Yarrowia lipolytica: one gene and its partners. The protein of the gene in region 3 purifies or fractionates together with the protein of the main gene of each other region. This does not show direct contact. Links are inferred from orthologs where the notes say so. Each region holds a gene or a part of one and is shown on either strand. Other genes may lie near its edges.

Region 1 (9,789 bases), on a different chromosome or scaffold from region 3:
GGCGCTTACAAATTGGACCACCTCTGGCAACTCTAACGCCGGATTCCACCCCAGCCTTCTTTAAAACCGATGGGAAAGCCGAAGCTCATGGTAGGGTAACCGTGCCAAATAGGAGGAGCTAAACCCATCGCGGTGGCGGAGAAGCACATGGAAAGCGGAGATAGAAGTCAGGGACGGCGCTGAGGGTGCCCGATTATTAACAGTCTTTGCTTTGAACGAGGACATGGTTTGGTTGTGGTACGATACTTGGTGGTATGGCTCGATATACTGTATTACGTATTACACTATCGAGCAATGTATGATACAAGAACAGAACAAGGACCTAGACGAGGACGAGGACCGCGCGCTGATGAAGAATACTGCGCTGACAGTGGCGCTCACGTGATTAGCAATGGCGTCTGTGAACAAATCAATCTCTACTGGATCGCAACTTCCGCTCCCGAATGTGCTTCTGTGCTGTATCACCGAATTTTACTAACTGCTAAAACCGACCACGATGCGTGCAGAAGATAAGTTATTCTCTTCATTATGGGTAAGACAGTTGCACACCTAAATGATGTATACGGCACACGGCACAATGGCACACATGGCACAAGGCACATGGCACATGGCTCACGGACTGCGCTGTAAATTACACCCGCTCCAAAAACACGTAAAATCGCAAGGCATGTGAGTCCAAAAGGGCGTAATTTGGCCCAAGCTGCGCGCCCAGTGGTGGGTGTGGTGTGCATATGGTGACATGTATTAGCATTGCCCTGACAACACAACCGTGGATAAGCGCCAGCAAGTACTCAAATTGTCGTCGTTTCAGCGCCGATACAGTCATAAAACACAAAGACAACAAAATCTGGCCTCCCCAAGTGAATTTTCACCCACATAGCTCCTCGCTACAACTTGTGTCGCTAACAACCATGGATGGACTCTCTACCCGCTGCAAGAGCATGCATAATCTTGCATATAAACAGAGGCCCAAATGCCAAACAGGGGACAAATCGCTCATACAAGATGTGGGTTATACGTGTTGACTACAAATAATGGAGTGTTGGAGCCATCAATAATCAGAGAAAGGTTCGGGAGTCGAAACACTGAAATACAAATGCCCGCGACACCCTCTCCATACCCACATATGCAGCTCCGTCCACCCGAAAGACACCCTTCTTTCTTTCTCAACGAGACGACAGATAATATTATAGACATGGTTACTATGAGAAATGTACAGTATAAGTGCTAGGATACAACCACAAGTAGAACTTAGATCGGAGCTACTTGTAGCTGTAGATAGCTCTACTGGACAGAACCACTATCAATCCTTAGGTAGTGTCGTAAAAATAGCAAGAGCTACGAAAAACTACCATGGCAGGCCCGTGTAACTACAACTGCCAACTTATCAGTTACGGGAGCAAGTTGACAATCGTACAAATACTGTACAATACTTGCGCACTGTACTTGGACATACACATCTATCGTACAGGATCTTCTACTGCTGTGCACTTCAAAACACCGCTTATCTCTCTTTCACATTATGCATTACTATGTTCGGTTTCTAAGCGGTCAGTCTCTGGGGTCGGTGAGGTTCAAATAGTTGGTATGCCTACTCCTCATCCTCGTCGTCGTCATCATCGTCGTCATCCTCGTCGTCATCAGAGTACACCTCGCTCTCATCGATGGACTCGTCGTCAGGCATGCTGGCATCGTCCGACTCGTACCAAAAGTTGTCATCCACAACGTCCTTGTGCTCGGGTGCCTTGGGAGCTACGTAGGCGGAGGACGAGGATGGCACAACGAAGCCCTCGGGAATATGTTCTCGGCTCAGCTTCACGTCCTGCAGCACCTTGGTTCGGTACTCCTCCTTGTCCTTCTTCCACATGACGCTGGCGTCGGGGTTGGCTGGCGAGTTAATATTGGGGTCCTCCAGCAGCGACACTATGCTAATGAGCACAGACTCCACCGACTGCACTGGCGACCAGCACTCCTGGTCTGGCTCTCCGCTCATGACGTCACCGCCGGGATGGAGAATCGAGATGCAGAGCCGGCCGTCCCTGTACACGTTGGGATGGAAGATGGGTGGGGTGAATTTGAATTTTGGCGGCGCATACGGAAAGTCCGCGGGAAATGTCATTTGTGCCTGTGTTAGTTTTGTCTTGTATTTACCTGTGTGTTTCCGTCCTGTCCTGCGGATTCCCGATCTCGGTTGCCGGGGAAAACTCAATAATATACAGGCCACACCTTGGTGGGTGTGGTGCGGTGAAATGGACGGAGGGGCAGGAAAAAAAAAAGGAAACAGAGAAGACGGGAAATAATAAGTAGCACTTCAATAACACCGCAACTTGTACATTGTGAGTACTGTGGCGCGTGCGGGGTTCGGCCGATGGATGCCCGATAGCACGTATGGTTTCGAGCTGGCACGCCACAAGGTCAACAGCAAACCAACTTTGGGGTCACCAAACCAGCTAGGGGTGTGAATGGCCGCCAAGCGGAGAACGATACTTGGTGTTCTGTATCTCCGACGGTGCTACCTTTACTTCCACCAAGGGCTCTGCATCCCGTTGCCCTACCTTCTGCCTCCCTCTGTTCTCCTGTCGTGTCGTGTGTCACATCAAATGTAACCCTCCAACAGGGCCACAAAATCAGCATCAGTGTCTGCGTACTCACTCTAAAGTATCCGCCGTGGTATACTGAGTCCTCGTTGAGGACCATGACGGCCACATTCCATGAATAAATATTGTCATCCTCGAGCTATGTTAGTATGCGCGTATGGTTGTGGGGCACAGGTTGTGTAAGGTGGTGGTCAGGGGGGTGGGGAAAGGCAGGTGTGTCGGATACAGCTCGTGGAACCCACGTCTTAGAAACCGTTTCAACATGTCATCTGAATCCCTTGCACACCCTAGGAACACTCATACCACAAAACACTCTGTGGTGCTCTGCGACACACCGTGACCCACTCTGACGCACCTGCGCGGTTCTTGAACAGGTAGATGACGAGGTTTGGGGCAGGGAGAAGCGCTAACAGCGAACGCTCTTCCCCACAACCACCAACACGCCGCCTGCTCACCCTCACCGCTGCTGTCGTTTCTGCGTCACCACCAACAGGTTGGGTTCGTTCGAGACCTCTGGTCTGTCACTTTGGGTGTCTGACTACTCACGGTAATATGAAAACTAGGGATGGCCTTCTTGGGATCGGTCAGCTCCCGGTAGTATTTCATAAGAAGATTAGCACTGCTGGAGCTCATGATGTCGAGGTTTTTTTTTGTGTTTTTTTTTTTTGGCCCTGGTTTTTTTCTCTGTGAGGTGTGATTTGAAGTGTGATGAGAGAAGAGTTGGAAGAAATGAGAAGACACAGCTGAGGAGTGGGAGGCCCTAAAGGCTAATTTTCTCTTGTCGACTGCATCTTGGGTTGGGTTGGGTTGGGTTGGGACTGGTGTGGCACAAGGCAAGGAGCGACAGATGCACCTCACCTCCTCCATACAAGACAGTGGCGGGGGAGGGGAGCCGGAGCGCTACAGTTGCTGCTCCACTGTGGTCATATAAACAGCCCGCCCTCCCTAACGATCTTTCTTCTCCTCTCACAATTTGCACCCCCGTCTCGGCCTCTAATGTCTACGTACGCCATGTATCACCCACCATCTCCACCACCCAGTCTGTCAGCATGACCATGAATTTACGGGGTTGATTCAACGTGACCGCTTTCTGCTTGCTGCTTGCCGCTTGCTGCTTGCCGCTTGCTGTTTTCCGCTTGCCGTTTTCCGCTTGCATTTCCTTTTCGCCCTTTCGCACTGCTTGTGAAAGTATATGCGCTGATAAGAGTGCGAGTGGGAGAATCGAGAGGATATGAGGAGTATATATCTATCTGCGGAAGCGAGTCGTAAAGACGGATTTTTCACATCGATGTCGACAAAAAAACAACAAAAGAACATCCTTTTTAGGGGAGCAGGAGGTAGCTACAAGTATCGTCAAGTATCGTCAAGTATCGTCAAGTATCGTCAAGTATCGTATGTACCGCCCCAAAGAACAAGCTCTCCATTATACTGTACCTTGTATATGACAAAGCGATTGTCTTTTTTTAGTCAACCACCAAAGTTATTTAGACCAACATTACTGCATGTGGCTTGGGTTAGGGCCAGAACTATGATACGAGTAGGTACGCGGACCAGTAGAGGACGTAAACTGGCACCGTAGCCAGAATAGTGACGTGAAAGAGGTCCAAATAGGCTGATAAATGACGCTACAGCTTACATAAGCCCTTTTTTTATTTTTTAATTCTTTCCGAGGTCGCAGATTGCCGAGTAGTGACGACTTCAGATGTTGCTGCTGGCCGGTACAGTATTCGTAAAAGTTCGCCAATACTGTAGCTAATTAAACTGCTTTGCAACATAGCCCTGTACCATAGCTGATGGGAGGTGCTAACATCATGTTACATTGCTATGGGGAGACGTGGATAATCTACTGTATAACCCAGTCGCTCTTCATTCACCACAGTTGATGGCTGACAGCTGACATGGTGTCACTGGCTCATTCTACCAGTACAGAATGTACAGTAGACGTCTGTTCTTACAAGGCCGATAGCAACTGTTCTTGCTAATGAGCCAACAAACACTACAAGTGCTGGACTCGTACAAGTAGTTCAGTCGGAGGACCAAAGTGAACCAATTTGAGACCTTTCAGGAGCCCCAAAATTGCATGGGTCCCAAGCTCCAGCACTAGTATCACCCATGTAACACCACTAATAGGTGGATGCTAAGGCCCGGACATGGGATTTGGGGAGATTGGACGTCCTTCAGGCGTATGATGGGGTTGTAAATTACGGTAAACGTGAGAAAATGACGGTATAATCAATCAGTAACCAAATACACCCGATGTTCAGGTTGCAGGATAAGGCCATTGCCAATATGGAAAAAAAAGGAGAAAACTCTCTCATTAGTTGAGATTTAGTTAAGGAAAATGGTCGGCTGGGGGTTCAAAAACAGTGTTCCAGAAGCTGTGGAAGATAATAAAATAGATATAAAGGTTCTTGATAAACGTAATACAACAAAAATGCAAAAGTTATACTACCTTCTCCTATTAAAATCTGCCGCTATCGTTGTTTTACGCGAAACCTGGACGTTGAGTTTACTTAAGGAATAGTTGAAAGGGTCCAGCAGAAAGAGCCTCCCCTCAAACTGCGGAACAATCAGAGATGTTTGGAAACTTCAAACCAGTTATCTCACAGACACACAACCATAGGATAGGTCGAGCTCGCACTCATCTCGAGTCCGAGCCCAAATCACTTGTCAACATTTTAGGTCCGATCCGGTGACCCATTCACGTCTTCTCGATACAGCTCATGCCACCATTATCAGAGCTATACCCTCCCTACCACGACCAAGAACACCACACTCGTTATTGCGATAAAAACAGACCCTGTCCATACAAACCGCTACCGTAATGTCGCTCCGTTCCACAGCAACAATAACTTGGACCCTTTATAACCATGAAGCTGCATTTATACCCCAGACATGTGTACCAATAACAACTCTGGTTAAAGTTGCATCAGCTCGCTCCATGACTCGGCAAACATATTAAAGTCGGTCAAAGATCAACATCATATGGCGTCAGTATGAAGCCGTAGCCAACGCGGAGGGGTCAGATCACCCAGAAAAACCAGTCTATTGCAGTTGCCCATCCACAACTCTCCGGTTACCCTACCGTGCTTCCCCACACCGCGTCTGTTTTATAAACACAACTTCCCCGGACTTATGCCTACGCTGCATGCCGAACCGAGGTTTGAGGTTGTGACATGATGCGTGCCTGAAAGCGGGGTAGTTGGACAGTGGTTCTTTGGGAGAGGAAAATGGCAGCGAAATCGCGTCTATATATCTTTACCGAAAGCTGCTCCCAAACAGCATCATCACCACCTGACAGTTGCCCCTGGACAGACTAACAGCTGGAGAATCTTTCGGCACCACGTAATTTTTAGGCTCTTTTAGAGTTGGTAATCTCTCGCAGTACGTTTGGGAGGACGACGAGCGAGAGGGATGACGAATATGAGGGTGAAAAGTAAAAATCCCGTGGATTTTATGAGACAGATCCATTCTAGATTGACCAGGCTCCATGTTGGTTCTTTCAAAATCGAAATCGGACCAAAACTCGCAACTATAGCTAATCCATGCAGTTTACCAATGTCACAACATATCTCTCAATATATATCTGACCGAAACAAGAATCATACCATTCAACTCGCTCAACCCTGGGGATTCCATTGATACCGACATCTCCCCTTTTTATCCCCTCACCCTTTCGCTAATGCCTCACTCCATATCCCTTAGATGGAACTCTAATTGCAACCCTACATGTCGTCATTATCTCCATCATCATCGGAACGTTGCTCACCACACACACCACACTTTCCACATGTCGAAACCCGATTCCGCCGCCGAGCGAGCCGCCAATTTCGAGCCATCGGACATGAGCGCCGGAGCCTCCGCTCTTTCCGGAGCTATTGGAGGAGCTGTGGCCAACTTGGCTGTTTTCCCTCTTGATCTGGTCACCACTCGTCTGCAGGTTCAAAAGGGCTACCTGGACGAAGATGATCAGTACAAGTCTCTCCTGGACGCGTTCACCAAGATTGTCAAAAACGAGGGCATCTTTGCACTGTACGACGGAGCGTTTCAGGATACCATCTCCACCATGGTGTCCGCCTTCTTCTACTTTTTCGCCTATGATTTCCTACGAAACAACCGACTCAAGATGAAACGCCTGCCCAATGGCCGTCTGCCCAAGACCCTCGGTATTGCCGAGGAATTGCTGGTGGGATCACTGGCCGGAATCTTCTGCAGATTCATCACCTCTCCTCTCGGTAACATTGTCACCCGACAGCAGACTGCTGCTCTGGTGCAGAAGAGCAACAGAGCTACCCCGGAGGCAGCTGCACACGCATCCGAAAAGAAGTACGGTCACGTCATTACCGGCGTTAACCCCGAGGTCCCTCCTGTCACACCCACCACCGTCGAGACACCCTCTGCTGTGCAGATCGCCAAGGATATCTACAAGGAGAAGGGCATCACTGGCTTCTGGACAGGCTACAAGGCCACTGTGGTTCTTTCCATCAACCCCTCGTTGACCTACTACTTTTTCCAGGCTCTCAAGGCCAATCTGATCCCTTATAAACGACGAGACAACCCTACTGGAGGCGAATTGTTCCTCTATTCGGCCCTGGCCAAGTCTCTGGCCGGTCTCATCACCTATCCTTACATCCTGGCCAAGACCCGGCTTCAGGTCAAGTCTGACAGTGGCTCTAACAAGGCCAAGTCTGCCTCGCAGATGGTGGTGGATACGATCAAGAAGGAGGGAGTTCTTGGACTATGGGAGGGCTGTCAGGGCCAGATTCTCAAGGGCTTCTTTTCCCAGGGAATCACCATGCTCATCAAAGACAAGATCGCAAGATTGCTCATTTATATTTATTTCCTGCTTGTTAGATAGACAGGGTGATAGACAAAAGATTGGTTCCGTGAATAGCACGAGTACAAGTAGACGAGAGTAGATGCACATGATCAAGTAATCATGAGCTACTTCCCACAGGTGTCTTTAGGCTCTTATCGTCTTATCGGACATCAGATGTCGAACCTTTCACCGACTGGTGCAAGTAGCTGCTATAAGTACGATAGAGCATTCGTAGGTACATACTGGCAAAGATCATGGACTGCTACTATCCGTGAGCCCTTGACAACAAGATGCGAGACTGTTCTGATATACCCCTGTCTTACTATTAACTGGGTCTATTGATAGTTGTTTGCTACGAGGGCTGTGCGGATGAGTTTGAAGCTACTACGAGTATCATTGTAACTACATTGTAGTTCAAGCTAGATGTAGGTGAGGATAGGGATGCTAATGAGGCGTTGCAGCTGATGGCGACTGATACTCCGGTGGGACAACTACCGGTGCCTTTGGTCAAGCTAGGATAGCCATGGAGATCATGTCTACAATATGAGAAAGGGAACAGCAAGCCAAGTGTGCAGGCAAAGTCATGTCTTTCACATCTACTTTCACTATCGCCCGGCTACCGACGTAATCTTCAAAACCCACTTTGACCCCCACATCATGGTCCGACTGTACAGCCCATCATGTATGCACCGATCTAAGATGCTTCGAGTCTCAACCAGAGCCTGTTGAGTCCTAATCAGGGATAGTTGCTCGCGGTTTGGCTCTGGAAGATTGGAAATGGGCAAACGGTGATTGGATAGAGCAACTGAGTTCGTGCACATTTGTCTGATTATGTCTTGGTCGCGCAGTTGAATTCGTGATAAGGAGAGACTAATCGTCGGTCCGGTACAGGAAGGTAAGAGCATAGCTATGAGTGGTGGTGACAGTGGTGGTAGTTGTGTGAGAACTGAAACGATACTTGCCACTTATGGAGATACATCAGTAGTTGAGTGTAGTTCATGTGCAGCAGTTGAACAGTAGTTAAAGAGCGGTTGATCGTCCTACCATGAATCAGTTCACACACAGACAACCAACGCTCGCCTAGAAAACCGCGATGGAATTGATAACACGGGTAATGTACAAGTACACAATTTTGTAGCCTTTAAGCGAGCAGGTTGAGTTAGTATCTTCTCTTGTTGGTCTTGGGCTTTTCGTTTTGCGATTTTTCGTTTTACTTTTTTTGGCCGCCTTATCGGTAGACCTGGTTGCATGGAAGATCAACTCCAGAAGGGTGGAGGTGGATAGATGGGGAGTCACGTGATAGAAGGGGTGTTTGTTGGAGATGAATCTGAGGCCTGAGTTGAGCTGTTACCAAGACTTGTGTAGATCAGATTGATTCATGATGGCTGGAGTGTGTACTGGAAGTCGGCACCGCCTAGCGACCATTCAGACAAGATCGACGACCACTACGATGACATATTGGAACCACATTTGTTCATCCCCATCAGGTCGGCCCCAGCAGCGCGACCTACAGGCAATTACTTGCACCCACTTGTATATACTGGTATGTAAACCCCACCGTCCTCTCGCTCCTCCTACTCACTAGGAAGTGAAACGTGTGTCTAACTTCAGCCACACTGGCCAGAGTTCGAGTCTAACTTGTACTAGTGTGCCTGTTTGGTGGGTACAAAGAGCCGGTTTGAGACCAGAGATGTTGCCTGCCGCTAGCAGAAGTCTATCAGTTTTGATTATCTACTGTGGACAGTTGGCTGTGAAATGTAGTCGTCCCCTCCCCGGTACCTGGTGGCTGTACTCGTCATTGAGTGAGGATATGTGAGACACGGACGGCTACAACGGCTACAAAAAGACAACATACAATGAGTAAAAAAAGAGACAAGTTAAAGCACGAATCCAGTAGATGGAGCGACAAGAGACCAGACCGGTGCCGTGGATGTGAGGTCTAATCTGATTTGGGTGGGTAAAAGCTGTACAATATGTACCAACGGTATTGTAAGTTGCGTGGGAAGTCGATTCGTGGGTCCGAGTAATTAAATAGTGACATGGGTAAGTCTGGAAGCAGCTGGATTGAACCAATGCCCTTTATTCTAGCATAATCCGTTCTATAGCTACCATCTACGCTTGTAACACGTGCCATAGCGATGAGATCACAGGATCTGGGGATTGCGAAAGATCCAGAAGTCCGATAAGAGTAATAATTCGTATAGACGATACTATAAGCAGTTGAAAATCACCCACAGACTCCTCCAACGGATCCAGAAACATTTGTGTGGTCATCCCTATCCCTTAATTAGGCCACGGTACTAATCTCAGAATGTCCACTGAAGCCCTAGACTGAAAGATCCAGCCGTCAGTTCCAGCATTTATGAACACTGT
Region 2 (10,706 bases), on a different chromosome or scaffold from region 3:
GAGTCACGTACGCATTTGCAACTTTCCCCGCGCCAAAACAAGCCCGGCAACCCTCCCAAATGTGTGGTTCTGCTGCTGACTCCTCCCATAGGGGAGATGGGGGTACCACGCACGGCACCGCATAATCGGAGTCCGATAGATCCGCGAGATAACGCAGTTCAATTAGGACGTTTTGGAGGGGGGAAATGGCAGGCCATAACATCGCTCTTGCACGCTCAATCACATCTACGCTCCTCGCCATCGCCCAACCAGCTCCAAACTAGCGCCACAGAAGGCTTTTGGCTAAGTTTCACTAGACCAACCGTGGTAGAAGCATTTCACGATCAGCCAACCAACGGCTCTGGTTTTCTTGTCAGAGAGATCCACGACGCAAATGAAGATATATGGACGGTGTATGACAGATATTATGAGTCATAACTGGCGACTAGTCACATTTCCCGCTCTTGGAGAGTCGTATTATCGCTCAAAAGGCTTAGTCAGCCCTACGTTCAAATTTTTCAGAGCTAACCTAACGAGAACCTTTTAGATATCAACGGCCAATCTTGGCATTATTGAAGCCGAGTACATGCTACAATACAGTACAAACAAGAGTTAAGCGCTCAAGTGAGAGGATGACACGTGACCCTGACGTCGACGATTCCCACGAGATTCATCCTCTACAATTTCAATCGAGTCTACAACATGGTTGCCATCTACAAGATGATTGCCATTAAACACATCAGTATTACCAAAACTACCTCACCACAGCCCATCCAAATACCACCTGGCAGCGGATGGCTTGTTCTCCTCCTGGTCCATGTTAGCGTCCCCTACCTCATCCTAAGCGGTGGCCTTCTCCGGAGTCACATGCACACCTGGAGAGCCCGGAGTGGCTCCAGCAGTCTGGCTGACCCCACTGCCCTCTCGTCTGTGGCCAATGATGGGAATATGAATGCCGTGCTTTCGCTCCCGCTTCTTGGCCTTCTTGACCTGCGCCTCGGCCATGAGTTCCTCAAACACCTTGACCTCCTCCTGCTCGGCCTTGGATCGCTCCGTCTGCTTGAGAATGGAGCCCATGAGCACCAGGGCCTGGGCACGCTCCTGGCGCTTGGCCTGAGGCACCTTCTTGTCGTAGAGAATGTTCTCACACACCTCCCGGAGCACGTCAAGCACCTCTCCCTTGGCGCCGCTCCATGCGACCGCCAGGGTCTTTCCGATCAGCAGACGCTCCATGGCGGCCTTGGTCTCGTCGGTCCAGTCGTCTCCACCGGCCTCCTCGGCAGCAGCCATCTCCTTGGCGGTACCCTGGACCTCGATGGCGGCCGAAATGGTGTTCCAGGTCTCCTTGGCAGAAGTACCCTTCTCTCTGAGCTTGCCAAAGAAGCCGGGGATGAATCCAAACAGCTTCTGCGACTTGAGGTACATGGATCCCTTGGTCAGGTAGACCTGGCCAATGGCGTGTACGAGCTCCACGCCAAAGGACTCCATCTTGAGCTCGTTGGCCTCCAGACGGATCTTCTCCTGGAAAGACCGGGTGAGGTCGTCGGTCTTGTCGGTCTCGGTCCACACGGACATTCGCTCAATGAGCTTCTTCTCAAGCATCTTGATTCGCTCCTTTCGGGCCTCCTGACGCTCCTTTTCGAACTCGAGCCGCTTGGCCCGAGCAGCCTCGGTCTGGGCCCGTCTCTTCTTTCGCAGCTCCTTTTCTCGAGCCAGCGCCTCCGCCGCAGATCCGGGAGGATGGACGGGGCCGGTCTTGTCCTCGTGAGCATGCTCTGTCAGCGACGCAGTGGAGTGGTTGACTCCGCCGGGACTTGCAGAAGCCCCTGCAGCCGCGCCTCCAGCAGCCGCGCCTCCAGCACCAGCACCAGCACCAGCACCGGCTCCCTCGGCTCCCTCCTCGGTCTCGGCCTCCTCCTGCATCTCCATGCTCTTCTGTATGTCCTTGAGCAGAGACAGCTCGCCAATCCAGTCGTTGAACAGCTGGCCTCCGAAAATCATCGTGAAGAACTCGGCCGGGTCCGCAAAGCCCTCGGCCGGCACCGCGTAGTCCTTGCCGTGCTCGTTGTACTGCTGTCGTAGGTCCTTGTCCGACAGCACCTGGTACGCCTCGCCAATCGCCTGAAATCGCTCGTTGGCGGTCGGGTCGTCGGGGTTCTTGTCGGGATGGTGTCGAATCGCCATTTTTCGGTACGCCTTTTTGATTTCCGCGTCCGAGGCGTCCACCTGCACCTCCAGCAGGTCGTAGTAGGCTGTGTCTGCCACCTTCATCTTTGTGTCTCTGTCTGTGTCTGTGTCTTTGTCAATGTCACCGCGCAAGTGTGAAAGGGTGAGTGGGTGAGTGTGAGGTTGGTGGTGCCCCTGCCTTGCTTATATTTCTCTGCTTTTCTTTTCTCCCAAAACACCAGCCAAAATAGACTTAGGCTTAGACTCTAACGGGTGGTCATAAGGCTGAGGGATTTGGGGGAGGAGGGCGCACCAACCACGGCCGCTGGAGGAGCTGGGACGCGGCCGGGGCAGGTTTGACGGCGCAATCATGACTAAGCGTCGCACACAGTCCATTTGCACTTTTCAGATTTCCGATACTTGCTCTCAATCTGTTTTTACGGGGTCTTGTGGCCACCAGACTACGAGCGTGAGCATGAGCGTGAGCATGAGCATGAATATGAGTACAGTGTTCCAGTATTGTACTGTTAAATCCGAAACGCTGGATAACCGGAAATAGCGATCGAGCCGCGTTAACTCCGGATGCACACGAGACCGCGATCTACGGACTTTCTACAGAAATACGAGGCCAGCCGACGAGGTGTAAAGGGGCTAGGTGGTCAGCCGTGGCCGTTGAAACATGACATTTATTTTTAGCTAGGTGAAGAGAAGTCGAGTCGATGTAGTTGAGGCATGTAGTTGAGGCATGTAGTTGAGGCATGTAGTTGAGGTCATTCCATGTCGTCTCGTAGAGCCCAGTACAAATGGTCATTTGGACATACAAAGAACACGAAGACTCAACACTCCAACAATCCAAGACTCCAGGACTCGCACAGAGTCAGTGACTTCCGTCACAGTCAGACATGACCACCTTTCCTCAACTCACTCAAGACTCCAAAACTCGCACAGAGCAAAAGACTTCCTCCCTCACATTCAGTCTGCTCAACTCACTCATTGATTGCTACCCTCAACTACTCCACCGCCTTCATTTCTCCAACTCTGCTCAAAAACCCCGGGTGAACCGCTCCCACAACTGAGCAACCTCGGCAGTGTCCACCCGGTCCATCATCTCCTTCCAGTCATACTGACCGCCGCCCGAACCCTTCATCTTCGCAGCCTCCTCGTACAACTTGCGCGAGTAATCAAACCCCTGCTTGTACGTCTGGTAGTCGCCGTCCATAAACTGGTCCATCTTGCCAGCCCTCAGCGCCTGAATGTCGTCAATCGTGCCACCCACCCCTCGCACATAGACCCACCCAGCACCTCCAACCACCGCCAACAACACAAACATCCGCACAAACGTCGTGATCAGCCCCCAGAACGACCGCAGACTCTGCTTCAACACCAGCAAAGACACGTAGAAAATGACAAGCACCAGAAGAATGCCCATCAGATCGGGATGCGTGGAGAAAATCGACTGTAGCGGCGGCTGAATCGCCCCAACCACGTACGACAAGGTCATCATAGCCAACCGGCTAGCAATCGAAAGAACATTGACCATGGTTGTGTGTGTGTAACAGGAAATGTCTTGTTTTGTCTTGTTTTTTTGTTTTTATATCGGTTGTCCAGCTCAGATCAAATGTTGTGATCCCCAAACCTTATCATATTCACGTGCAGCTCCACCGAAAATTCAATCAGGTGGCAAATGGCTAAATCGGCCGCTAAATCTGGGGTCAAATCGCCACTGAAACGTGGCATAAACGGCTTACGTAATCGCGAAACTGACCATAAGAAGATAATAACGGCGACAAAAAAGTCACATGAACAAAAATGGAAAAAAAGGTCCTATTGAGGAACAAGTACAGTACGAGTACAATACTGCATGTACTATACTGAAGCTAAGTAATTGTCTCACAATAAGTGTAAACTCCCAAGTGCATTACTTGGCTTTGGTTGCAACCACCAATACTCTAAACGTGTTTAATTAGTAATATTCGTGTAAGCGTACATTCATTTCAAAGGTTATTCTTTCACAGCAAAGTTATAATTAAATGAATGTATATGCAGAAAAAAAAAAAATCTAGGTACAAGTACAACCACTACATCCTATTATATATACATCCTAATATTATCATGTCATTGCTATATGCTCAAACTCATACGTCTAGTTGTACAGGTCATCCTCCTGGTCAGCACCAAAAGCAGTGCCGGCACCAGCGTCGGCGGCGGCAGCCTCACCAGCAGCGTCCTCGCTGAACCGGAAACCAATGTTTCCTCGCGACGACTGGATCTGCTGGGCATAGGCCTCGTATCGACGCAGCTCACTGTCGCTGACAGATCGCTTGGCGGTCTTCATGGCCTCCTCAAAGTGGGCCCGGGTGATGTAAGGAACAGGGTCTTCCATCTCCACGTCCTCGTTGCCGGCAGCCTCAGCCTCCCGCTGGGCGGTGATGGCAGCCTCAATGGAGTCCTTGATGGCAAACTTGGCAGATCGCTGCACAATGTACGACAGATCGGCACCAGTGAAGCCATGGGTAGACTTGGCAAGCTCCTGCAGAGACAGACCGGGCTCGAGAGGGGTCTTTCGCAGCTGCGCCTTGAGAATGGACAGTCGGCCGGCCTCGTCGGGCAGAGGCACATAGATGAGCTGGTCCAGTCGGCCGGGTCGCAGCAGAGCAGGATCAATCTGGTCGGGCCGGTTGGTAGCTCCAATGACGAACACGTTCTTCTTGGCGTTCATACCGTCCATCTCGGTCAGCAGCTGGTTGACAACTCGGTCGGAAGCTCCACCGGCATCGCCAACAGAGCCACCTCGGGCCTTGGCAATGGAATCCAACTCATCGAGGAAGACAACACAAGGAGCGGCAGCTCGGGCCTTGTCGAAAATGTCTCGGATGTTGGACTCTGACTCTCCGAACCACATGGACAGCAGCTCGGGACCCTTGACGGAGATGAAGTTTGCAGACACCTCGGTGGCAACGGCCTTGGCAAGCAGAGTCTTACCGGTACCGGGGGGACCATAGAACAACACACCCTTGGAGGGAGACAGGCCAAACTTGGTGTACATCTCGGGGTGCAGAACGGGGTACTCGACGGTCTCCTTGAGCTCCTGCTTGATGCCGTCGAGACCTCCAATGTCCTCCCAGGTGACGTTGACGGACTGAACAACGGTCTCTCGGAGAGCAGAGGGGTTCGAGTTGCCGAGTGCGAATCGGAAGTTCTCCATGGTGACTCCAAGGGAGTCGAGCACCTCGGCGTCAATGGTCTCCTCTTCCAGATCAATCAGATCCATCTTCTCTCGGATCTGCTGCATGGCTGCCTCGGAACACAGAGAGGCAATATCGGAACCGACGTAACCGTGAGTCTCGGCGGCAATGGTCTCGAGATCAACGTCGTCGCCAAGCTTCATGTTCTTGGTGTGGATTCGCAGAATCTCAAGTCGACCGGTGGGGTCGGGAATACCAATGTCGACCTCTCGGTCGAATCGGCCGAATCGACGCAGAGCAGGGTCGATGGAGTTGGGCCGGTTGGTGGCGGCAATGACGACAATGTTGGCTCGGGCCTTCATTCCGTCCATGAGAGTCAGCAGCTGGGAAACCACTCGTCGCTCAACCTCACCGTTGGTCTTGTCTCGCTTGGGGGCGATAGAATCAATCTCATCAATGAAGATGATGGCAGGAGAGTTCTTCTCGGCCTCCTCGAAGGCCTTTCGCAGGTTGGACTCGGACTCACCGGCCATCTTGGACATGATCTCGGGACCGTTGATCAGGAAGAAGAAGGCTCCGGTCTCGTTGGCCACGGCTCGAGCCATCAGGGTCTTACCAGTACCGGGGGGACCGTACATGAGAATACCCTTGGGGGGCTTGATACCAATAGACTTGAACAGCTGGGGGTGCCGCAGAGGCAGCTCGACTAGCTCTCGGATCTGGGCCATCTGCTTTCGCACGCCTCCAATATCGTCGTAGCCGACCTCGTTGAGGTTGCCCTCCTCGTCCTCTCGCTCAATGGGATCGCCCTCGCAGTGGATGACGGTATCCTGGGCGACAATGGCGTACTCCGGGGGGTCGACGTCGACAACCTTGAACTCGACTTGTCGCATACCTCCTCGCACGGTGAACAGATCGCCCTTTCGCACGGGTCGGTAAGCCTCGACAAAGTAGGGCTTGAGGAAGACGTCGAACAGCGAGCCGGTCAGACCCTCAATGGTGTCGGAGATGGGCAGACACGAAATTCGGGTGGCGTACTTGATGTCGGGGCAGGGGTGGACCGAAACCACGTCTCCGAGCCGGACTCGCAGGTTGCCTCGGACGCATCGGTTGATTCGGCACACGCCGTCCTCGAGTTCCTCGTCGGCCAGCACAATGAGCACCGTGTCCTTTCGCTTCTTGCCCTTGACCAGCACTGTGTCGCCCCGGAACAGCTGGAGCAGATCCATGGTTGCTGGCGACATGCAGATGATGGAGTTGTCATCGTTGGTGGCATCGTCCACGACAAGAGCTATGTTAGTATGATTGATTGCTTGCTGGCTTGCTTGCGGTTTTCTCTGCTGGGGTCTCATGTTTCTGCGGGCAGACCACCACATAACCCACGTTGCCGCGCCACCCGAAATACTCACCATTGTCCTTCTTTTTCTTTCGCAGAATGGCGGTGGCCAGAGAGTCGTCGGCGTTCTCGGCAGCACCGGAATTGTCGATCAATCGCTTCGATTCTTCGGTATTGTCAGTCATGGTGATGTGTACAGTGCAGAGTTAAGACAAGTGCGTTTGCCACAGTTAAAAGTGCGAGTGCCAGGACCTACCAGTTAAGGTTCGGGGTAGACAAGTAGACAAGTGTGAGAGACGGAAGGGAGTAGGAAACACCCACGTAACTGGACCGTGGAGGAATGATCCATGAGAAAGAATATTACATGGCGACACACAGCCTTATATAGATTGGCTCTGTGCAATTTTCCGTCTCTAAAACCCCCAAATCATCCCGACAACGTGGCCTCTACTCAAGACCTTCCAGTACCTTCGTCAGAGCAATTGCCTAATCTACCGTGGTGAACTTTGTCCACCCAGCCTCAACAGATCTCATCCTGCCCAGACGGCCGGGCGTACTGGGAAATGGTGATTATATAAGCTTATAAGAACGGGATGGAAGGTGTCGTGGCGTTTGGGGGGCTCTCCGTCCTCCGATTAGTCAGCAACATGCCTCTCTAGGCCCATGTCTCTTGGGAGACCCTTTCGACCGCCCTCCTCCCCTCCCTCTCGTACTGTCGTCATAGTTGCAGCCGATAAGCCAACTAGGGTTCAAAATGACAGCTCACCATGGAGCTGCTTAATCAGCTTAGTCAGCTGTGGGGGGCGGCGGGGGTCTCGTGGAACATGTGGATTTGGAGGAATATAACCGAGTCCGGATTAGTCACGGTGGTCCAGGGTCATGACCAATTCTCCGACTCCTTGTCAGCTTGCCCAATCCACCTTATCACGTGATCTACAAGTAGCTCCCTGTGCGTACACCATGCATACATTGCCCATCCTACTTATTTACATCCCACCAGTGATCGGACCATTTCAATCGGGCAATTTTCTGATTTTTTCGCCGCATGACTTCTTTCTTTGTGTCCACGTTCAACTGTGGCAAGCTCACCCAGGACACGCAGTACTACCAGCATTTGTCCGCCGAGTTGGCAGGGATTGATGCGCCCCATGTCTTGTTGTTTGGGTATCAGGAGCTGTGTTCGATTCCCGATGGGTGTCTTGGATATGCGGTGGATCCGCTCAATGATCTGATTCAGCAGGTTCTCAAGGCGATCAGGGACCAGCCGTGGCTCGAACGATACGTGGTGGTTGGTCAACACACGTTTGGAGCCATGGGTCTGGTGGCAATAGCGTCGGCAGATGTGCTTGTCACCGACGTCAAGTTGTGCCACGTGGCGTGCGGCATGTTCTGGTCGTCGCTCAAGGGCGCCGTGGGTCTCCGACTCAATGTTGATGGCAATCCCGTTGTGTGTGTGGCTGCGCACCTGGCGGCCAATGAGGGCTTTTTGGAGCAGCGCAACGACGATTTCGCCACCATTGCCAAGGAAATGAAGTTCCTCGACCCACGCACAGGCATCTACGATGACGCCACGGTATTCTTTTTGGGTGATCTCAACTACCGAGCGTCGGAAAACGAGCAGGGACTCGCTGACTACAAGGTGGTAGACGAGCTGTTTTACGCCATGAGGTCGCTCGATGCCTTCTGGGACTTCCAGGAGGCCGAAATCGGATTCAAACCAACCTACAAGTTCCACACCGGAACGTCCGAATACAACACCAAGCGAATTCCGTCCTGGTGCGACCGAGTGCTGTATAGAGGAGCAGTGGTGCCCCGGAAATACGACTCGATCCCCGCCGTCATGTCTTCAGACCACAAGCCCGTGTACTTGTGGGCGTCGGTGAAACTGACCCAATCCACCGCTGTTGAGCAGGGCGATGTTCCTCCTCATATTCTGTCTGCTGCCCACGTTTCCGAACTCTTGCATATCCGAACGTCGATCATGGACTACATTATTGCGCTGGGACTGTTGGGTTTCACCACGAGAATGGGCTGGATTTCCATTGCGGGTTTCTTGTTGTTTGCGTGGGCGTTGTATAGGTAGTGTGAGCGAGTGTGAACGTGACCAACGTGAACTTGGCCAGCGTGAACTTGACCAACGTGAACTTGACCAGCGTGAACTTGAGCGAGCGCGAACCTGCGCCAGACACAACACTGTCTATTTCATCTATTTCATCTGCTCTGCTGTCACAGTTTACTCCACCCCACCCCACCCCAACTACAATAACTACAGGACTATGATTCAGCGACCGGCTGACAAAATATTTTATTTAATCATTACATTAACTGCACGCACGGCAGCGAGTGTATCAGGGCAGGGCGGTACTTGATGAGGCCACTTGGAGGTCTTGGAAATGCTTTGACAGATTTGAGAATCGACAGTTTATTGCGTCAACTGAGTCGATTGCTTCGACGAGAACTGTCCGCAAGTGCCAGCGACGAGATCTGGAACGGCTCGGCCCAGACCAGATTCGTAGGCAGTGCTGAGGATTACAAGGGATTAGAGGGAGAAGCACTCTGAAGAGCAGCTCTGAAGAGGAACAGCTTTGAAGAGGAACAGCTCTGGAGAGGGAACCAACAGAAGCCCCTCCTTCATCAGTAGATTAAAAAAATTGTTTGCTAACAATGTCTACTGCAGTTTTTACAGCCTTTACAACAGTCTTAACAGCAGCCAGTCCCTTCCCCTACTGAGTCAAACAGTAAGACATGTCACCGCTTAAAACGGCGATTCACGTGACCTTTTCCTTGGGAAGAGTTCTACTGACACGAAGGATCATGTGACTGTTTTGGAACAGTTCACTGAGTGGGGTTACGCACCCGTGAGTTTCTACATGGTGGTGGAACTACGACTCAGCTGGGTTTCGAACTTGCGATTAAACAAGGCAGGTTTTTTAAGCGCTAGGCCATAATTTTAGTTAGGATTAGTTAGGGTTAGTTGGAATTAGTTGGAACTAGTTGAGTTCGTATGGTTGGGGAATGGTTGAGGAATGGCTTCAACAGGAAGGGCTTCTAAAGATATCTTTTGGTATTACGACGACTTGAGTTATATGGTGTAACTAGTGTCTATAAGTACGTACTGAGCCCGGGACTAGTGTTGTTCTGGTTGTTCTGGTTGTTCTGGTTGTTCTGGTTGTTCTATATCCCAACTATCCGTAGTTGGCATTTAGTTGACCAAAGCTTGGATTGATCCATCCCACAACAATGAACCAATCAGAGGCTAGAGAGATGGCAGTCGCAATCAGATTGAATAGTTAGATTCACAAGCTTCAATTCAACACCTTTCGGCAATTTTACCATCTACTCCGATTTTTTTCCAATTTTTCCCCTTTCTTCATTATTTTTTCGGAATTTTCTCCCCACTGCAAAACACAGTTCACCAGACTCTCCATGCTACACGAGCTGGTGAAAATTCTGACGTTTCGAACCGTGCAACTGGAAGCGATAGAATCTGGGCGACTGCTACGACCGCGAGACCGACAAAAGTTTTCGCGAATAGTTTTCTCCATGCTCTCCAACCGACCGACCAAAAAGGCCAAGGCGTCGCGCGACGAGGCCGGGTTCAAAATGCGGGCCCAAAAGGTGAAGAATCTGGAGATCAACGGCGACGAGCAGGCCGATGGGGCCCAGTACGAGCTGAGCGACGGCCTGCGACGTGTCTCACCATACTACTACACCTATCTGACCTACTGCAAGCAGCGGTGGAGAGACCGCCAACTGCTGGACATTTTTGCCAACGAATTCAGAGACAGAGACGAAAGCTACTACCGATGGGCGATTGAGAACGGCCAGGTGCTGCTCAACGGCAAGGTGGCCCAGGTGGACTCGGTGGTTCGAAACGGCGACGCCATCCAGCACAGATCGCACAAGCACGAACCGCCAGTCACCGACCAGGAGATTGACATTGTGCACGAGGATGACGATTTGGTGGTGATTGACAAGCCGTCGGGGATGCCGGTTCATCCGGCGGGACGATACAGGTTCAACACCGCCGTCAACATCCT
Region 3 (10,452 bases):
TAGACTCGTTAGTTGCGACTAAAGAACCGCTTCCACCGTCTCTGTGAGTACGTACTTCCCGCAGAAGTGCCTGTATCGGAGTATCCGACGGCCAGGCCCATGGAGGAAGTGGAAGCATGTGGAGAAGAAGGAACGGTAGAGGGAGTGAAGGAGAGACATACCTTTGAATCATTTTCGAGCGGGGAGAAAATCTCAGACCAGTCTGAAGAGTCTGAGGAAGCAGACTTTAAAAAGGCAATGCCCACATTATCGTCGTAGTCTACATCTCTCGTCAGATTGAGTTGGGGAGGTCTCATTTTGCGAAGCGACACCTTGGGGGATGGTTCGCATTCAGGGTCATTAAAACACTCCAGCAATTCGTCGGAGTCTCTGGGCGACTTTGGAGGTGTTGAAGTGATGACGAACGTTGGACTTCCGGTTGTGGTTGTAGCAGAACTTGCGGAGCTCGAATCTTGGTCTGTTCCGTTGCTATTGGTATCGTCAGACTCCTGGGTCAGGTACCCAGTAATAGTTCGGTCAGACAGCTTGGCGTTGAATATCGGGAAGGCCTGCGCTTCTTCCTCATCACTGTCGGACTGCTCTATGAATCTGGACACGTTTTGGGCCACTGTTTCCGAGAAATCAAACGAGATATTCTTTCTATGAGAAAGCAGGGAGCTGGATCTCGCCGAATACACCGACTTGGGTGGTGATAGAGACACACTTGATGGTTCCTGGAGACCTACAGAAGCTGGATTGCGCTGAAACTGTCGGTGGGAGATGTTGGAGATGATCTGGGTCGATTTAGCGGACTTGGGAGATCCGTTCACGGACTCTGCAAGAGACTCTGGAGGGGAATTGGGGAGGGGTACGGCTCTAGAGAGCTGCTCAGACCTCAACCACGACTCAATTGTCTTTGTCAGCGTCTCGTCAATCTGGGGAACGCTCATATTGAGGTACCGCGAGGTTTGAGAGGTGACATTGAGAGCCACAAAGTTTTTGTATATCAGAAGCCCATGAGCAGCTTCTGGGAGGGATAGCGACGTGAAGACAGACAAAATGGTGGCAAGTCCATCGCTGAGGAGCGAAAAGAGGACAGACAAGTCACGTGACAAGACGGGATACAGCACTTGTGGACAGGGTGCGATCTTGAGAATCGTGTTGGTCATGTCCAGTAAAGTGGACAACATCTCAACGTATTTAGGCGGCAGGGCGTCTGGTGACTTTTTATTCATGAGAGTATCGAGCGTGATGCTCTTATTGTCGAGTTTTTGCCTCAGAAAATCGGTTCCAAACCTCTCCTGGAGACTCAGACGCATTCGAAGGTATGCAAAGTACGGCACAAACAGCTGGGCTGTGGTTTTATCGGAGATTGCTAGCGGTTTGTCTTCATTCTTGGGATCCAGGGGCGTATGATCGAGCATTCCAGTCTTTCTCTGAATGTCCACCTGCTTGATGAAGTTGATGGGTCCGTCATTGAAGAGCATGTGAAGGATGATGAAGCATCTGGCGTAATTGGCGGTGGTAAAGGTCAAAACCACCCCTCGAGTGCACATGTCTCGAATGAAGTACGCATTGTCGGGTCTGGAGGAGACTAACGTTTGCAGCTGCTTGTAGTCATCCTGGGGTATTGGGTCCAGGAGCTTGCCTCGGGCCACTCTTCGTATCAGTCTGCCCATGGTGCGCTGTTCTTTCTTTCTTTCTTTTTTGCAAAACGGCGGGCGATGCAAGCGAGAAACCCACGTCTATATGACTTGTACGCGTCTACAGGCGGGGAGCACGTCCCAAACCAGAGAGGAGTCTGTCGCCCATAATAGTTCGGTTTAGGTGCAAACCTCCGCGCCGTTAGATCTGAGACCGCATGAAGGACGCGGCTGCCACCAAGGGTAATTAATAGGGGTAGAGATGAGAGACAAGCACGCTTTTGTCGCGAATGCCGCTTGTTCGGCAGGGGAGTTTTGGGTCTGACAAATCTCCCTCCTTTTTCCAGGAGTTTTTGCTTTGATTTTCTCTCCAATTGGGGACCCGGTCACCCGATCCACCAGAGCGTCAAACCGGCCCAGCCAATAGTATTGCAATCAAACTGAAATTATCATGTCCACTGCACTGAGACAAGCGGCAGGGTTTGACACGCCGCTACTGTGCTACTTGTACGATACACGGGCGACCTGGGGTCGATAATATGACCGCCAATGGGGTAATGCACCGAACTAGAGTAGCCATGCATGTTTCTTCGTTTCAGCCTGGGAACAGGAGCTGCGTTTAGTGGTAATAATAGTTGACATTTCTGGTCGAGAGAATGAAAGGCACCCACCCAAACATGAGCTGACACTCGCCAGCCCGAGCCTCGCTGCTGTAATATCCCTTTATTTTGCATGCCGGTGTACATACTGTACGAGTACATGCAAACCCCTGAACGCTGAATGTCGTTTCTTCGCCATGGAGTCTCCCCTATTATTTTCGACTGAACGCTGCTGAAACTCATCTTGCTGTAACACCACCGTGTGTTTTGAGGGTTTCACCCATGTCGATCAGACAGCCAAAGCGTGTGGAAACAGGTTAGACGGAGCGAAGCAGCCAGCCGTTCCAAAACCCACGTCTTGCACGCCCTGGCATGCAATTTCTGTCACCTGTCAACGTGTCTGGAAGCAGGGCCCCTCTTTTACATGCTCCCGAGACTCCACGTGCAGTTGAGAATGTACAAGTGAAACGGTGAAACGGTGAAGAGGTCCTTGATGATGAGTAAGCGGTGCGATGATGAGCGTCTGCTCAATTTGAAGACTGACTGGCCAACTCACTTCCTAGATGGACTATATAAACATTGTCTTGTACGACGTGGTATGCTCATACTGTACTCGTACTCGTACTCGTACTATGTTTTTAGTATTATGGCCTACTTGTAGTCTTGACAGTGGCGCTAATCTCAGGTCATTAATCAAACTGGAAGTTGAGGACGAGACGTCCAATTTCGACATAAACAACTGGCAGTGGTGGGCTGAAGACCGTTCTTTCGATTTCTGTTTCAATCAGGACTCAATGGGGTTACCCGATTTGTTTCGTATTATTTCGTATTCCGTGCACTTGGTGGCATCATGCATTGGTGACGGGACCTGACCTGAAATATGCAGCTATAAATAGGCATAAACAAGGGCTCCAGTTAAACGACTGATTTCGAAATGTTGAAAATAATGCAGTATTTGCGCGACCGAATTTGAGCACTTTTATGTAACAAAGAGACTGGCGCGAGTAATTGGAAAAATAATGCATTAATTGAAATATTGGAGAAATTTGGTAACATTTGGAATATTACAAATTGCTTGTGAATATAAAGTTTAAGCGAAATATTGGAGAACATAGGAAGCATTTGGATATTACCTGTGTTTGGGAATATAGTGTATTAATCGCAATAATCGAGAAAACTCAAGAATAACACGATCAAACACACTACAGAAACAAAACCTGTCCACCAAAAAAAAAAACTACCCAAGACTCCATGAAGAAAACGATGACATGACACTTACTTGTACTAAAGACACCTCATAGACCCTTCTAGAACTCCCGGTACGTTTTTAGTGCGCATTGTCAAGTGCACAGTAGCTTATGTACCTACTGTAGATACTGTACAGTCAGCTGTAGTCATGGATGCAAAGACATGAGTAAGAAGGAATTATACCCGGTTTGCCACGTTCAAATACGACACTACACAGGCGTATAGCGGACGGTCTAGCTTGCACCTCACCTCACTTGTTAATCAAGCCACTTGTAAACCCCTCACACTAGTCTGTTGAAGTCTCAGCTCTCTCTCCACAGTGTAGCGCTGAGTAATAGTGTTGTGCGAGTGAGACTGATGTTCATCATTGCGCAGACAAGTGTCACCGAGGCCGTCAAAAGGACTGGAAAGATGGAGGTGGAATCATGTGTTCAGATAGTTTTTCACACTTGATTCGTGTATTGTTTGTTCATATCAGATTCCGTGAAGTTATAGTATGGACTGTACGTACGCAGATGCCTCGTACTGGTTAACAGCCCACTATATCAAACCGCGATAATCCCCATCCGAACCAAAGTTCGCTATCGGGGCCTATCTCACAGGAGAGCAACGGTGGCGCGGAATCGCTGCCCGATAGAGTGTATCCATTGAGTATTCGTCATCTCGACCACTATTGCGAACTGTGGCGTTTTCAACGGCGCTGGTTAGGGTTTGGGGGAGGCTATTCAAAGTGGTTGGGTCATGTGACCTGGGTGGGCGGAGATAGTGGAGGTGTCTTGTTCGAGGGCAACCGGGCAGGCGGTGGCGGAGGGGATATCTGGGACACAAACAGACGACCTTTCTAACGAGTTCTGGTACTAATTTCCCCAAATTATTGCTCTCAAAGCCCTCATGATTCCTCCTACTCATTCCTCTTTACCACCCGCTTGCCCCGAATCGCCCTGATTAGACGCAAAGCCAAACCTTGGAGGTCAAGTGGTGTACTAATCGCACACACTCACAGCACACCACAGTGTTCCACCGACCCTCTTGAGCACCCTCCGAGACGATATTTCTTTTTGTGTTCCCAGTTCCGAGTGGCGACAAGTGACACAAACAGAAACCACAGACTACATAAGTGAGGCTACCCACCCAACAAGCAGTCTCCCCTCACTCGTCCTTCCACCGTCTCATTCAGCACAGGACAAACACAAACACAAACGCTCCAAGCCACAGACCGATCCGATGAAGAGCGAAGCGCGTGGAGAGCCACACCCCAACGGCAGTGGCGACGGCGCTGACACGGCCAGTGTCGCACCCACAAAAACATCACAGCCCCCCTCCGCACACCCTTCGTCGATCCTGACACAGTACATGAAGAACTTCCAGGGAAACCTGTCTCCCGACATGAAGGACATGCGACGATACTGCTACCGGCACCATCCGGACCTCAGTTGCTCCCGCGAGTCCGACGAAGAGTGCATGGCCCAGATCCAACGGTCTATGGACGAGCTGCCCGTCAAGGACAGAGAGGGCATCAGCCACTGCTGGAGCATTTTCTCAGCGTCCAACCCTCGCCAGCGCTCGCTCATTCTGCAGGGCATTCTCACACAATGCTGTTTCCCCCAGCTGTCGCAGGTAAGCTCGATTCTCAAGGACCTCATTCGAATCGACTTCATCTCGGCGCTCCCCACAGAGGTGGCCTTCAAAATTCTGTGCTACCTCGACACGGCATCTCTTTGTCGAGCCGCGCAGGTCAGCAAGCGATGGAAAATGCTCGCAGACGACGACGTGGTCTGGTACCGTATGTGTGAGCAACACATTGACAAAAAATGCACAAAGTGCGGCTGGGGCCTGCCGCTGCTGGACAAGAAGCGCCTGCAGCAGAGCAAACGGTCCATTGAACTGCGGGCCAAGAACTTCAACCCCAAGGTCGACACCCAAGGACAAAAGGTGGAGGACAAGGAAGACCAAACCCCACAAGAAAAGGTGGAGGACCTGACAGGGGAAAAGCCATCTTCCTCGTCAGACGTCCAATGCGGACACAAGCGAAAGAGAGAAGACGACAATGTGGCCATGGCTGCACCCAAAACATCCAAGACGCGACCCTGGAAGGAGGTCTATGGAGAACGATACATGGTGGAGCGCAACTGGCGTACCGGCAAGTACTCGGTACGTAAATTTTCCGGCCACAAGCTCGCCATCATGTGCCTGCAGTTCAACCACCAATTCCTCATTACTGGTTCCTACGACACCACTGTCAAGGTGTGGTGTGTTGAGACTGGTCGGCTGATCCGAACCCTCGAGGGTCATCGTCTGGGAGTCCGGGCTCTCATGTTCGACGACACCAAACTCATCACGGGATCTCTGGACCACACTATTCGAATCTGGAACTACCGAACAGGTCAGTGTGTGTGTACCTTCCGAGGTCACGAGAACAAGGTTCTTGCGGTTGATTTCAACGATTCATTGATTGTCTCTGGTTCCGCAGACAAGACCGTCAAGGTGTGGAACTTTGAAACCAAGAGCTGCTTCACTCTGCGGGGCCACACTGACTACGTCAACGACGTTAAAATCCACAGCGCGTCGGGCCTGCTTTTTTCGGCCTCTGACGACAACACTGTTCGAGTGTGGGACTTGGAGACCAAGCGGTGTCTGCGGGTGTTTGGTCACCAGAACACCGGTGGACACGTGCACCACATTCAGTCCGTCATTCCGTTGACTCTCGACCATCTGGAGGACGTTGATCATTTGGATGCCGATGAGAGTGCCATTGATGACGCTGATGCCAGTGTTGTTGATGAGGCCGACAATGGTCACGAAAGTGCAATTGACGACTCTACCGATGGTCCTGATCTTGCTATTGCTGATGGAGAGATTGCTGTCCAGCGAAACTCCTTCTCCGTTGGCCAAGTGTCTCAATGCGACATTTTCCCTGAGCCCAAGACTCCCCTGGCTCGAAAGCACTACCCCACACACATGTTGACGGGATCCCTCGACAACACCATCAAGCTATGGGACATCAAGACCGGCAAGTGCGTTCGCACTCTGTTTGGTCATGCTGAGGGAGTGTGGTCGATTGCTGCAGATCATTTCCGAGTGATTTCGGCGTCGCACGACAAGACTGTCAAAGTCTGGGAGCTGCATTCTGGTAGGTACATGCACACGTTTGGTGGCTACCGCGAGGCTGTCACCTGTGTGGCCATGAGCGACTGCAAGTTTGTCATGGGCTGCGAGGACGGTGTTGCCCGTCTGTACAATTTTGACATGCCTTCCAGAGCGTAAAAAAATGAGAGGAGAGCGAGACAGAGATCGAGAGAGAGGTCGAGCAGGGATCGAGACAGAGATCGAGACAGAGATCGAGACAGAGATTGAGAACAGAGAAACGACGATGACTTATTTATTAATACCCCCATAGAGATAATTGAAAAAAAAAACTTGATTGAAGTGCACCAATAGTGACGTGACATGCCTGTGTAGGAATCATGAACTGAGAAACGCCAGGGCAAGCGGTGGGTCCTACTATGGCTTTGTCTCTTGCCTCTTTCAATTGCAACTTCAACACTTCCATAGCTTCTGTGACGGTGGACAGTGGACGAGGGTGTAGACTTGATTTGTATGGCTGTGTTGCCATGGACGTAGAAACAGTGACGGCGAAAGGTGTGTTGGATAATTACTCTACAGACACGAGTGATATATAAGTATCTGGTGCCTGTACAAATGCTATAGGATGGCGTGGCTTTCATTGCGTGAATCTATTGTATCATCGATATGGAAGTTCAAGACTGCCTATCTTCAAAGAATATGTAGCAAGCGTATCTGAAAATACTGACATGTATAACAGTGGCTGAATAGTGGTAGTTCAGAGTATCCGCCAACTGAATAGCGACTTAGATATAGCTCTAGATCTTACTGGCGATGACTTTTGAGGTCCTGGTTTGTTCAGAAGGATAAGAACAAAAAGGGAGAGATACAAGTGAGGAAGGAAGTGGCAAGAGAGATGGGATTGGCAAAAGAGGGAGTTGCTAGAAGCCCTTTACAATAAGGCTTCATATGTAGGTCTGTATACAACAACTCTGGACTTCACACCGGGTTGGCGACGAAGCACTACGAGATTATGGTGAACGGAAAGCTACAAGACGCTTACTGTTCAAGAAGCTGATTCTTTGATTTTTGGATCATGAGACTCAGAGCTCGGGTGAAGAGAACTCACACTCTGCTCCGTCCAGTTGCGGGCCCATATCCTGGTGAAAATACGGCTTCCCGTCCGATCAGCCATTAGTCAAGCACCAGAGAGCCCAGTTAGTATTGTAGTGGGAGACCATACGAGAATCCTGGGTGCTGCAATTGTCATTGCTTCTACGGATATTTTTTTTTCTTTCTTTACAGTCCCGTATGTTCTTTTCATGTTTTGTCTCCAACCTTCGTCCTAGTCATCATGAGATGTAGAACCACAATGAGCTTATTGTGAGAAAGAGGGGGTATTGGGGAGTTGATTAGGTGGTTGTATCGGTCACTGAGGTCCCATTTTTCTACTATCCAGGATTTTATTGACCCTGCTTTGTTATGTCAACTCGTATTTCTCAGTGCAGAGTTGCTGTGTGTGTTTATAGACAGATGAGCTTTGTGTGAGAATGGGGGGTTGATTATTGTACTAGATAGTTTCCAAAAACGTCATTGTAGACGTTCCAAAAGCCTGAGACCACAAGAGGGTCCCCAAATCCTTTCATACCGTTCTCCTGTTCAACAGCAACCGCAATCATAGATGTCCAAGTATCAGAGCTATAGCAAAAGTCAGATACTCGCGCAGAAGATACTAGTGACGTAATTGCGGCGCTTCAGAAGCGCAAGTACACTACCTAGTTTAGAAAGAAGATATCTCTCCGAGCCGCTGATCTCAAACACAAACTTCTCATCTCTGGCGTTACTGAACGACAGGGCTTCTTCGGAGTAAACAGGATCGTATCCAGCCCACCAGCTGGGCATGGGTCGTTCAAAGAGGAAACTGAGGAATTTGCTTCCCTTTTCCAAAAACGATTGCCTCCGAATAGCTCCGATAATATGAGGTTAGTGCTCATCAGAATCATACAAGCGGTTGTATGAGTAACGGGTCACCTACAATCTCAACTGTCCCCTTACCTGTCCATGGACACATGATTCCGACAGCCACAGCGCCTAACGATACGTGATAGAGCGTGATGATGGGCACCTTTATTAGCCTGCCACTATCTACAGGTGCTCGTACTACAGTCCGATCTCGAATGGGGTACAAAGGTTGCTACAAGAATGTGGAGCGTAGTGGTAGACAGTTGGAGATTGAGTATGATTACATAAGCACATAGAAAGGCACGGAATTTATCAATCTCCGTGTCTCGTGTCGCATGACTGTTCCTATGACCGGCGCACAAGCCTCCTCACATGGAAGATCGTCCAGGGGTGTCAGACCTTAAAAAAACGCGTCCGAAAATTCAAATGAATTAATGACAGGGATTGATGCATAGAACGAGGAGGGGTAAATGTGCAAAGTTCTCGGAATACGGTCTGACAGCAGGTGTGGATTTCTTGTGGATTTATGTGATTTTCTCTCGTTCTGTAATCCTTTATTTTGTGCTGTTTGGCTAGCTTCCTTGCGTCATTTAACCGATGGAATGGCGTGTGCGGTTTGTACTGCTATAGAAAAATATAGAAGCGGCCGTTTTCGGTAAAGGAGGTTAAGAAACGAGCCTCACCTTGACGTTGGGTTCAACAGAGGTGAAACCTGTGTTTAAGACCATCAGACTTTGTCGGCTTAGTGTCATATTTCGCATTTTTTTCAGTTGGCATTTTTTCGCCATGTCCACGATTTTCCGGCATAATTTTGTTTCCGCAGGCCCTGAGTCATCGCCAAGCCCAAGTGATATTCATGTCCTGTGATGTGGTAGCAACCTATAGCAAAGTAAAACGGCAATTAGCAAAAGAAAAGACTGCGGGCTCGTATTCAATACATTCCTGTCGAGTGTAACTTTGGTGCGTGAAAAAAATGGACGCAATACCGCACCTGGGATGACAGAACAATGTCTCGTCAGTGTCGTTTCCACCTGCATGACAATCTACAATAGACAGATTTCAGGTAGCTCCGATTTCCCTATAATACACTAGCGAGGCACGCGGTTGGGATTTATTTTTGTGGCAGCCATGGACCCAACAGCTCATCAGACTACAAGTACGTTTCAAACCCGCTTTCGGCCGCCACTGACGTCACGCAAAGTTTTTCAAGGGTTTGGTTATCTGTGAGAAGGTGTCAGAAAGTGTCAGATTTAGTGCGGGAAAAAAGTGAAGAGCGGCGTAGGGAAAAAATCCGAAAATAATACGACAAATGCTGGGCACAGCAATTTCTTCACAGTGCTGAAGGGGTATAGAATCGGTCGTCTTTTGCGGTGGATTTTCCTCCGATATTTCCACCTCTAATTCAAAATACAAAGTGGAAAGCTCGAGGGTAAAGAAGCCCGTCACGTCTGCAGACTCTTTCAGATGAAAGCCGATGGTTTCTTTTTGCGCTGCTCAAGCGCCGGTAGTGCGACGTCGCAGAGCACGAGCCCTAAAGCTCGCAGCAGTGACGGTTCAGTTTCCCTTCTGGCTCTGAGACTTTTCCAAACTGAGACTCGACTCATGTCTCAAACTCGAGGCCTGGAACCCACAAGTGGTTCTGGGGTCGATAAAAAACACGCACCCCGAGCCACCGAATCTGTTGAGTGCTTTGTGTACCCTCCCCCTCAGACCCTGCCTGTAAACAGTACCACCAAGGAGTCTGGTTAGCTCGTTTTTGGAGGCGCTAATGCATTCTATCGTCAATAGCACGACCCACGAGGCTCCACACCTCGCCAACCACATCTCACGAGCGGCGACGGCCTGCAACCACCTGCAATGCGCTCGGAAAAATCCCATGGGGAAAATCAACAAGACTCCAGTCGTAGAGCTCTGCAATGCGGGAATCCACCTTTTTTTTCCGTTCACAAGTTCCTGTA

Evidence for each region.
Region 1: the proteins of YALI1_B13355g (region 3) and YALI1_C07979g purify together in Saccharomyces cerevisiae (affinity purification with mass spectrometry; 3 studies listed by BioGRID, with this or other methods). This does not show direct contact. The link is inferred for Yarrowia lipolytica from reciprocal best matches to the Saccharomyces cerevisiae genes MET30 and CDC34.
Region 2: the proteins of YALI1_B13355g (region 3) and YALI1_F16035g purify together in Saccharomyces cerevisiae (affinity purification with western blotting, with the first as the bait; 3 studies listed by BioGRID). This does not show direct contact. The link is inferred for Yarrowia lipolytica from reciprocal best matches to the Saccharomyces cerevisiae genes MET30 and CDC48.

The regions. Positions count from the first base shown.
Region 1 is NC_090772.1:791,383-801,171, reverse strand, and holds YALI1_C07979g (uncharacterized protein), read right to left. Parts: upstream 3,231-9,789; coding exon 3,144-3,230; intron 2,737-3,143; coding exon 2,653-2,736; intron 2,126-2,652; coding exon 1,592-2,125; downstream 1-1,591. Other genes in the region: YALI1_C07948g (uncharacterized protein), read left to right, coding at 6,280-7,455. UniProt on the Saccharomyces cerevisiae protein: Catalyzes the covalent attachment of ubiquitin to other proteins. Capable, in vitro, to ubiquitinate histone H2A. Mediates the initiation of DNA replication (transition of G1 to S phase in cell cycle).
Region 2 is NC_090775.1:1,596,830-1,607,535, forward strand, and holds YALI1_F16035g (uncharacterized protein), read right to left. Parts: upstream 6,743-10,706; coding exon 4,289-6,742; downstream 1-4,288. Other genes in the region: YALI1_F15990g (uncharacterized protein), read right to left, coding at 820-2,250; YALI1_F16005g (uncharacterized protein), read right to left, coding at 3,188-3,685; YALI1_F16045g (uncharacterized protein), read left to right, coding at 7,712-8,749; YALI1_F16058g (uncharacterized protein), read left to right, coding at 9,035-9,185, 9,244-9,413, 9,459-9,614; YALI1_F16069g (uncharacterized protein), read left to right, coding at 10,093-10,706. UniProt on the Saccharomyces cerevisiae protein: ATP-dependent chaperone which probably uses the energy provided by ATP hydrolysis to generate mechanical force to unfold substrate proteins, disassemble protein complexes, and disaggregate protein aggregates.
Region 3 is NC_090771.1:1,331,214-1,341,665, forward strand, and holds YALI1_B13355g (uncharacterized protein), read left to right. Parts: upstream 1-4,360; coding exon 4,361-4,393; intron 4,394-4,591; coding exon 4,592-6,733; downstream 6,734-10,452. Other genes in the region: YALI1_B13328g (uncharacterized protein), read right to left, coding at 9-1,658; YALI1_B13401g (uncharacterized protein), read left to right, coding at 8,965-9,149, 9,218-9,449; YALI1_B13411g (uncharacterized protein), read right to left, coding at 9,686-9,949, 10,009-10,098. UniProt on the Saccharomyces cerevisiae protein: Substrate-recognition component of the SCF(Met30) complex, an E3 ubiquitin ligase complex that mediates the ubiquitination and subsequent proteasomal degradation of target proteins. Negatively regulates sulfur amino acids biosynthesis genes expression.